Linked DNA regions of Canis lupus familiaris. The protein of the gene in region 2 interacts with the protein of the main gene of each other region in a pairwise test. Links are inferred from orthologs where the notes say so. Each region holds a gene or a part of one and is shown on either strand. Other genes may lie near its edges.

What was found. The genes of interacting proteins can lie anywhere in the genome.
Region 1: the proteins of ARNTL (region 2) and NPAS2 interact in binary tests that used the Homo sapiens proteins (3 or more experiments, as listed by UniProt). The link is inferred for Canis lupus familiaris from reciprocal best matches to the Homo sapiens genes BMAL1 and NPAS2.

The regions. Positions count from the first base shown.
Region 1 is NC_049231.1:43,056,638-43,060,739, forward strand, and holds the start of NPAS2 (neuronal PAS domain-containing protein 2), read right to left. Parts: upstream 2,801-4,102; 5' UTR 2,566-2,800; intron 1-2,565. UniProt on the Homo sapiens protein: Transcriptional activator which forms a core component of the circadian clock.
Region 2 is NC_049242.1:36,919,812-36,923,311, reverse strand, and holds part of ARNTL (aryl hydrocarbon receptor nuclear translocator-like protein 1), read right to left. Parts: intron 3,390-3,500; coding exon 3,239-3,389; intron 2,401-3,238; coding exon 2,312-2,400; intron 1,846-2,311; coding exon 1,741-1,845; intron 837-1,740; coding exon of another isoform or gene 822-836; coding exon 713-821; intron 1-712. UniProt on the Homo sapiens protein: Transcriptional activator which forms a core component of the circadian clock.

The DNA.
Region 1 (4,102 bases), on a different chromosome or scaffold from region 2:
CTAAACGGAATGAAGTGTATTCCAGAACTTTGCTGGCGTTTCACAGCATCAGGAGCTTGTGAGAAATGCAGAATATTGGCTCCCAACCCAGATGTGCTGAGTAAGCCTGTGCATTTAGGAAGGTCCCCAGGAAATCACACGCACTGTGAAGTTTGAGACACAATCTTTGGCACCTTCACCTTCTTTAATACACTTTTTTTCACACCACCAGAAAGGAGAAGCTAAGCTCTCTCCTTTCTATTCTGCATCATCAGATGGAAACCACACATTGTTTTATGATCCATAGAAGTTCAAGTGATCTTGGAGGCAATTTGCCGAGAAGATGACTTCGCTTACAATGCCAAGTGGTCGCCAATGTCCAAGAATTCAGCGAGCAAATTCAGTAGTGCCTTAGCTAATGCCTGCATTTAGAAATTCTTTTTAATAAGTGTTCACATTCAGTAAGTCCTTACTTAGTGCTGTAAGGTATTATTCACCATCATCAGATTTAAACTTGAGTTACTCATAGTTAAGTACTCCATTAGCATTCACGAATTTCTAACCTCTGGATAACTCTCATCGACAACTCCGCTCACTTCCTACACTCTTTGTTGAGCATCTATTATGAACAAGGCCTCACAGGGCTGAGATGCGGTGGGGAATATGAACGTGGCAGTCCCTGACCTCCCATCTTTGCTACAAATAGAATGATGATCAGGAACATGCTAATGAAACATTTGTGTAAGCAAATAATGCATCAAATATCATTTCCACTATTTAAATGTGAAACTCAATTAGATGCTTCTATGATGCAGCCAATTAATCCATCGGCGTAAAGCAGCCAAGAATACTGAGTCACTGGGCTATTTTCAACACCTTGTAATTTGACCTCTCTTGGGAAAGAGATGTCACCGCTTACATGGGATCCGCATGGGACAATCAGTGTCCCGATCACAATGGAGAAACTGACTTTTCAAGTGAAGGACAAGATACATAGCAGTAATAACAGTTAAGAAAAAGGACTTTAGCTCTTCAGGTTCTTAAGGTTCAAAAGCAAGACTTCAAAAAAATGAACATATACAGGTGATCATATCAAAAAGATATGCATATAGTGTTATTTTAATCTGAACAAATCACTAATTTGTAACTTGAAACAAGTGGCAGGGTGAAGAGCCAGCTATAAAGACTACCAAGAGTTAAGATAGTTTAAAAAATACGATAAATTCAACTTAATAATGGCATGCATCACATGATGTGGGTCATTGTTTTTTTTTTTTAACATTTTCATTACTTTTATCATTTTCATTATTAGGCAGCCAGAAATAGTTGACAAAGGACCCAAACTCCTAAAAGAACCAAATGTGCTTAAAAACAATCATTATTTTCTACCCAGAGATGAATTCTTTGTCACCATCTGAACACTCTCATCATATCAGGGAATTTTTTTCATCACACTAATTAATAAAGCCACACTTGGTTCTTTTCTTGGCACGTTAAACTCTTTGGGGGGCAACGTTTTATTAATAACGTATTTCCTCCAGAATGAAGTCCCTTCTCTCACCTCCGCAGGAGTCACTCTGGGGAGTAGTAAGGATATAACCAATTCTGCTGTTGCACACAGTGGGACAGATCAGCAAATAAATAGAAGCATCGATTTCCAAGATGAAAATGGCTAAAAGCAGCACATTTACAATTCTTCTAAGCCACACTCCCGCATCGCTCTGGGAGATGGAAGACAAGTATTGAATGTCTTTATGTTGCACACTTTATTTCTAACTAAGTGTTTAAGAAGACTGCTGAGAAATGCCAATACTTCTATGGGTCCTGGCTTAGCTGTGTAATGTAACACAGATTTTAAAAATTTATTTTCTGCTTTTGCAAAAAATAGTGGCCCTAGTCAGAACAACACCTTTAAATGCTATATTTATTTGGGGGCTATTTTAAAATACATTTTGGGATTATTTTTGCTAAGCTTTCTCTTTAAGGAAATCTTTGTGACAGAAAGACCTTAGTACTTGCCCTTGAATTTTGAACTGGCACTTCCCACCCAAGAAGGGCATCTCTGCTTTCATGCAAGCCATAATCAGTTGTTCAATTCACTGGTCAGGTACTAAGTTAGTCTTAGGACAGAGGCGTGGACAGGGCTACATCTTGCCAGGAACTGCTTTTGAGCCAATCATCTGGAAAGTCCAAACAGGGAAAACCCTCCTATTAAGGAAAAGAAGGTTTGGTTTCTAAATGATCACAAATGACCAGTTCCTCTCTGCTGATTACGTTAACAGCTACTCAATATTTTACCTGTAAAGAAACAGGCCAACCAATTTAATGAATTTGGGGCACTATACCAAAGCAGCAGGTAGGTACTGAAGACAAACACGTAGAGCTCTCCCCTCTTGGACCCCTTCTGAACACCTGTTGAATCCCAGGGCTCTAAACTTTTTGAACTAAAGCCTCCCGGATACAATCATGGTAGTTTTTAGACTTTCTGGAAGTGTGTGTGTATTTTTAAGGTTTCCATCTTGCTTAATCTCCAAAGCTGGTTACTAATTATTTATGAATCACAGGGCTGAAAACAAACTTTCTTACCTTGAGCAGTCAAGGAGCGGCAGGCAGAGGAGCGGGGTTTTTAATTTAGCTCCCTGGCACCTGTCCCCGCTCCCCCTGCTGAAGGACCCCGCGCAGCTCCACGGAGAGGTCAAAGGTAGGGCTCCTCGGCGGCCCCGGGGAGGGGGCACGCCTCCTATCAAAACAGCGCGCTGGCATCCAAGCTGGGGAGCGGCGGCGAGGCGAAGCGAGGAGCCGGGCTACGCGTTCTCCAAACGTGCAGGGGGCAGGCTGGGTTCCCGGTCGGGCCCGGAGCCGAATCCGACCCAGGGACCCGGGGGATCGCGGGCCCGGGGCGCGCACGCCGCACTCTCCGGGGCTTCCCCGCTCCCCCTCTTCGAGAGGGCGAGCGGTGGGGCTCGGGGGGGGGGGCGGGGGGCACGGGCGGCCCTCCAGGCTGCTACCTCGGCTTGGCCTCTATCCACCCCGACGGCACCCTCTGAGCTCCCCCAAAGGCTGAGGTTCGGGGTGCCTCGTCCTCCGCTGCCTACGGCGCGACGCACACGGAGCACACCAGCCCGGCCGCCCCTGCAGTCCTGCCGGCCGCGGCGTCCCGGGCGGCGGGCCCCGGGGGGCGGGGGGACCCCATCCCGCGCCCCCGACCCCCGCGCCGCGCAGCCCCGCGCCTGAGCGCCCCCCCCCCCCCCGCGGCCCCGCGCGTCCGCCGCGCCGGCTGGCAGGTGACCGGGTCCCGCGAACCCGCGCGCGCGGACTCCCGCCGCGGGCCCCCCGCGTCCCCGGGCGCGGCCCCTTACCTCGGAGCTGGCCGGGGCGACCCCGCGGGGCCGGGCGCGGACTGGGCCGGGGAGACGCGCCTCCCGCCGCCGCCGCCGCCGCCGCCGCCGCCGCCGCTGGGAGCCGAGGCGGCGAGCGGGCGCGGCGAGCTCCTCCCGGGCGGCGGCGGGAGGCGCTGCTCTCGCTGCCGCCGCCGCCGCCGCCGCCGCCACCGCGGCCGCGGGTCTCGGAGCTGCGCGGCCGCTGCTGCCCGGCCGCCGGCGCGCGGGTCCCTCGGCTCCTGCGGGAGGCCGGCTGCTCGCGCGGCAAACTCTTCCGCACGCAGAGCCGGTGGGGAGAGCCGCCGCCGCCTCTTCCTCCTCCCCCGCCCTCCTCCCGCCTCCCGCCTCCCGCCGCCGCCTCCTCCTCCCTCGCCTCCTCCTCCTTCCCTCCGCTCCTGCTGCCGGGTCTCTCCCGGGCGCACGCGGGGCCTCGGCCCGCCCCGGCCTGGGACTCGCACGCTGCGGCCCCCGGACCCCCGGCTCCCCTGGGCGGCGCGGCGGCCGGCGCCTCTGCCGGGCCGCGGGGAGCGCGGGGTCGGGGCCCGGCCGGGGGCGCGGGGTCGGGCTGGCGCGGGCGGCGGGCGGCGGGCGCGGGCGGCGGGTGTGCGTGCTTGGAGGTGAACTGGCCGGGAGCGGCCGCGGGCGGGCGCGGGGCCGCCGGCCGAAGTCCCGTTCAAGTTGTCGCCGGGGGCGGCCGGGACAGACCCTCGCGGGGCCCGCTGCCACCCCGCGGCCCCGTGCGG
Region 2 (3,500 bases):
TCTGAGCACTCACCATATGTCAGTTTCTACCCTAGGAACATTCCTGAGACCTCTCATACTCCTAAAGCAATTCTTGGGAGATAGTTATTACCTGCCTTTTATGGCTTAATTCAACAGAGACCAGGAAGTTAAGTGAATCTCTTAAGCACAGCCAAGTAGGAGCCCAGAACTCAAACTCCAGTAAACTACTTAAATATGGAAAAGAAGCCCTCTCAAGAGAGATTCTGCGTGGGCTCTTATCGAAGCCAGGCAGCTTTGACTAGAAGCAGCTAATGTCGTGTTGAGGCCCAGATCACGGACTGTCGCCACTCCTGCAGTCCTGTAATGTTACAGTGTTCATCCATCCTCATGAGCCCCTTGAGTCATAATAAAGTAATGAGAAAACTGAGTCCCCAAAGAATTCCCTTTAACTCTGGCCTGTTTGGGTTTCACTCTTTAAGGCCAGATTTCTCAATCTCGGCACCATTGACATTTGGGACTGGAAAATTCTTTGTTTCGGGTGGAAGGAGATGGCAGGGAGGCTGTCCTGTGTCCTACAGGATGTTTAGCAAGCAGCATCCCTGGTCTCTATCCACTGGATATTTAGCAGCAACGTCCTACCCAGTTATGACAACCAAAAATATCTCCAGGTATTACAAAACAGCTCTCGGGGGCAAAATGCCCTGGGTTGAGAACCACTGGTTTAAGGGAGCAACTAGAAGGTGTTACTTGCCTGTGGATCTCCATGATTTCTTCAGCAATCATTCGACCTATTTTGCCTGCCCCAGCCCTGGTTCCCCCTGGAATCCCTGGAACAGTGGGGTGGGTCCTCTTTGGGCCACCTACAACAAAGGAATCTGAGAGTGGGAAAGGGGAACCAAGGAAGAAATGCTATTATGAGTTAAAACCAGTTCATCTTGTGATCCACTTGAAGTTTAACCTCAGGGTTATGCCCTAAGGGACAGCAGAGCTGCAGCTTGTCAGGAAAAGCCATTCCAGCAGAAGGCTCAAGTTTGCGTCCAGGATCAGAGGCCAAAGCAAGGGCTCTAGTTCCCCTCACGCGCTCAACATCCGTTTACCGACTACCGCTGTACAGCAAGCCAGGGTCCCAGAGGCAAGTCGGCAGCTCTGCCCTCAAGGAGCTCACAGTCTAACAGGGGGATGAACAAGATGAACAATGGCTGGAACAAAGTGTGGTAAGTTTGACAGGTAAGTACAAGGCACCCAACTCCTCCAGGCCCAGGTACAGCTTCCTGGGCAAGTTTAACACTGAGCTGAGTCTTGAGAGAGGAGTAGAAATTAGCTGGGCAGAGAGGTAGGGAGGGCAAGGTGTTCCACGCACAGCAACCAATGTACGCAAGAGCACTGAGGGAGGACACAACTTGGGAGACTACTCCAAGAACTTCATCATGAACGATGACGAAAGAGTGACAGATGAAACTGGAGGAGGTACCTGGGTGAAAGGTCCTGGATGCCATACTAATGGATTTAGACAGGATCCAGAGATAAGGCGTGCCAAACACTTCGCACAGAAAAGGCACTTAGGTTGGGTTACTGGGAAGTCCACTGCATGGAGCGTGAACTACAGCGGAGGAAAGGGGTTGGGTGGGGGAGTAAGACTACGATTAAAAAATTCTCTGCAACAATCCGGGCGACAGATGGGAGGGAGATGGAGAAGTCTAAGAGGGGCAGAAGGGACAGGACCTCGTGCTCAGATAGAACGGGCATGAAGGAAGAGTCAAGGTTTCTGGCTTAACCAACCAGATGAAGGAGTGCAGAGAATCGGTTTGGAGAGGCTAAATTTCAGGTGCTTTTGAGACTCCAGGTGGCTCTGTCCAGGAGGCAGGTGGAGAGACAGACCTATGGCTCCAGAGACAGAGAGATCAGATGTAAGAGTCGGTGGTGGAGAGGAGGGGACTGAAGGAAGCCATGCAAGCGGAGGTGGTGCCGTGGAAGGGTACGTCAGGTGCAGAGGCCAGGGCCAAGCCCAGAAGGGAGCCCCACTGACAGAGACCCTCCTCCCCCCCAGGAGCCAGTGACAGTACCAAAAAGCACCACATCCCAGCACTGGGCAACACGGAGGAAAGCCCAAGAGGAGCAACGAGTTTCCTATTCCAAGGGCTTCCAAGGTCCCGGCAACCTTGGAACGAGCTCTCAGTATTCCAGGCTCCACAGAGAAAGTGAGAGGACAACGTCCTTAGGGCTCATCTGCTTGAAGCCTCCCTTCCATAAAATATGGGGGCTGGGGACACCAAATAGTTGGGGAGGGGGTACACTGGCCACGAGCAGCTTCTCATGGGCAAGCCCCGATGCCCCTGCAGTACATAGTTACCTTCTCCAGAGGGCAGCATGCTGTCCATGCTGTGGGGGGACGCTGTGAGCTGCGGGAAGGTTGGGTCCCCGCCTTCCAGGACGTTGGCTCTGTGAACATCCCAGCAATAAGGAAACATGAGTCAGGCCTGCTCAGAACCGTGCACCTTTCACCTTGGCCAAGGTGTCCGGTGTCCACTCTGGACCTGGACAGGCCAGAAAATGAAGTGTCTGCCTGAGTGGCTCAGCAGGTCTCCTCGCTGTTCGAGAACACGGTGGACAGCATCCCGGCCTTTGGCCTCACTGCCTGCCTGGGCCTTCCTGGTTTGTAGAGGACACAGTCCGGCAGAGAAGGTGACTGCAGCCGCCCACTGCCATTGCTACGGGGCCTCCTCTCCTGCCAGTGTGCAGGGACCTAGCCCCGGCCCCTCACTCTGCTCTGGACACCATGGGGAAGGAGATGCGGGGAGCAGTCCTCGCCCAAGAGGGGCCCCTTCCCTGCTCGCCTGGCAGGTGGCGGCCTCTGAGGCGGGCTTTGGGCTGCCAGCGCTCGGGCGGCCAGCCCGGCGGGCACGGGGGCCCTGAGCCAAGGCCAGCATGAGGCGGCACCCGGGCGAGCCTCTCCTGGGCTGTCGGCCTCTGCACGGCAGCGCCCAGGCGCCCAGCGTGCAGGGCCTTCGGGCGTCAAAAGCTAACTGCCGTATCGGGAAGGAACGGTTGCTGCTCCCGTGGCAATTCCACGAGCCAGGGGCCTGCACGGCACGCACATCGAAGCGTGTTCTTGGTTACCGACCCCTTTGGCCTCTGCCCATCCCGAGGCCTCGCCGGGTATCGGCCGGTAGCCTTAGAGGGTGCGCCACTGGCTGCCGCCTGCACCCGCCTTCCCAGGTAAGGAGCCCGGGCATTTGTCCTGGAGGCAAGAGAGCTTCCCGGGCGGGGGGACACTTACAAAACAACAGTGTTGGTTGAGACGATGTACTCTACTTCCTTGGTCCAAGGGTTCATGAAACTGAACCATCGACTCCGGAGCGTGATGAAAGAACCATCTTTGATTTTAAACTTATAGCAATTAGTCGTGATCTTTTCTCTCGTCTGTAAAACTGAAAATGCAAAGAAACCATGAATATTGCTTCCTCAGACCAACACAGTGAACTAAGCAAACCCTAAGTGCGCCTGGACCCCGCTGCCGCCACCCTTCAAGGGGCTCGCGC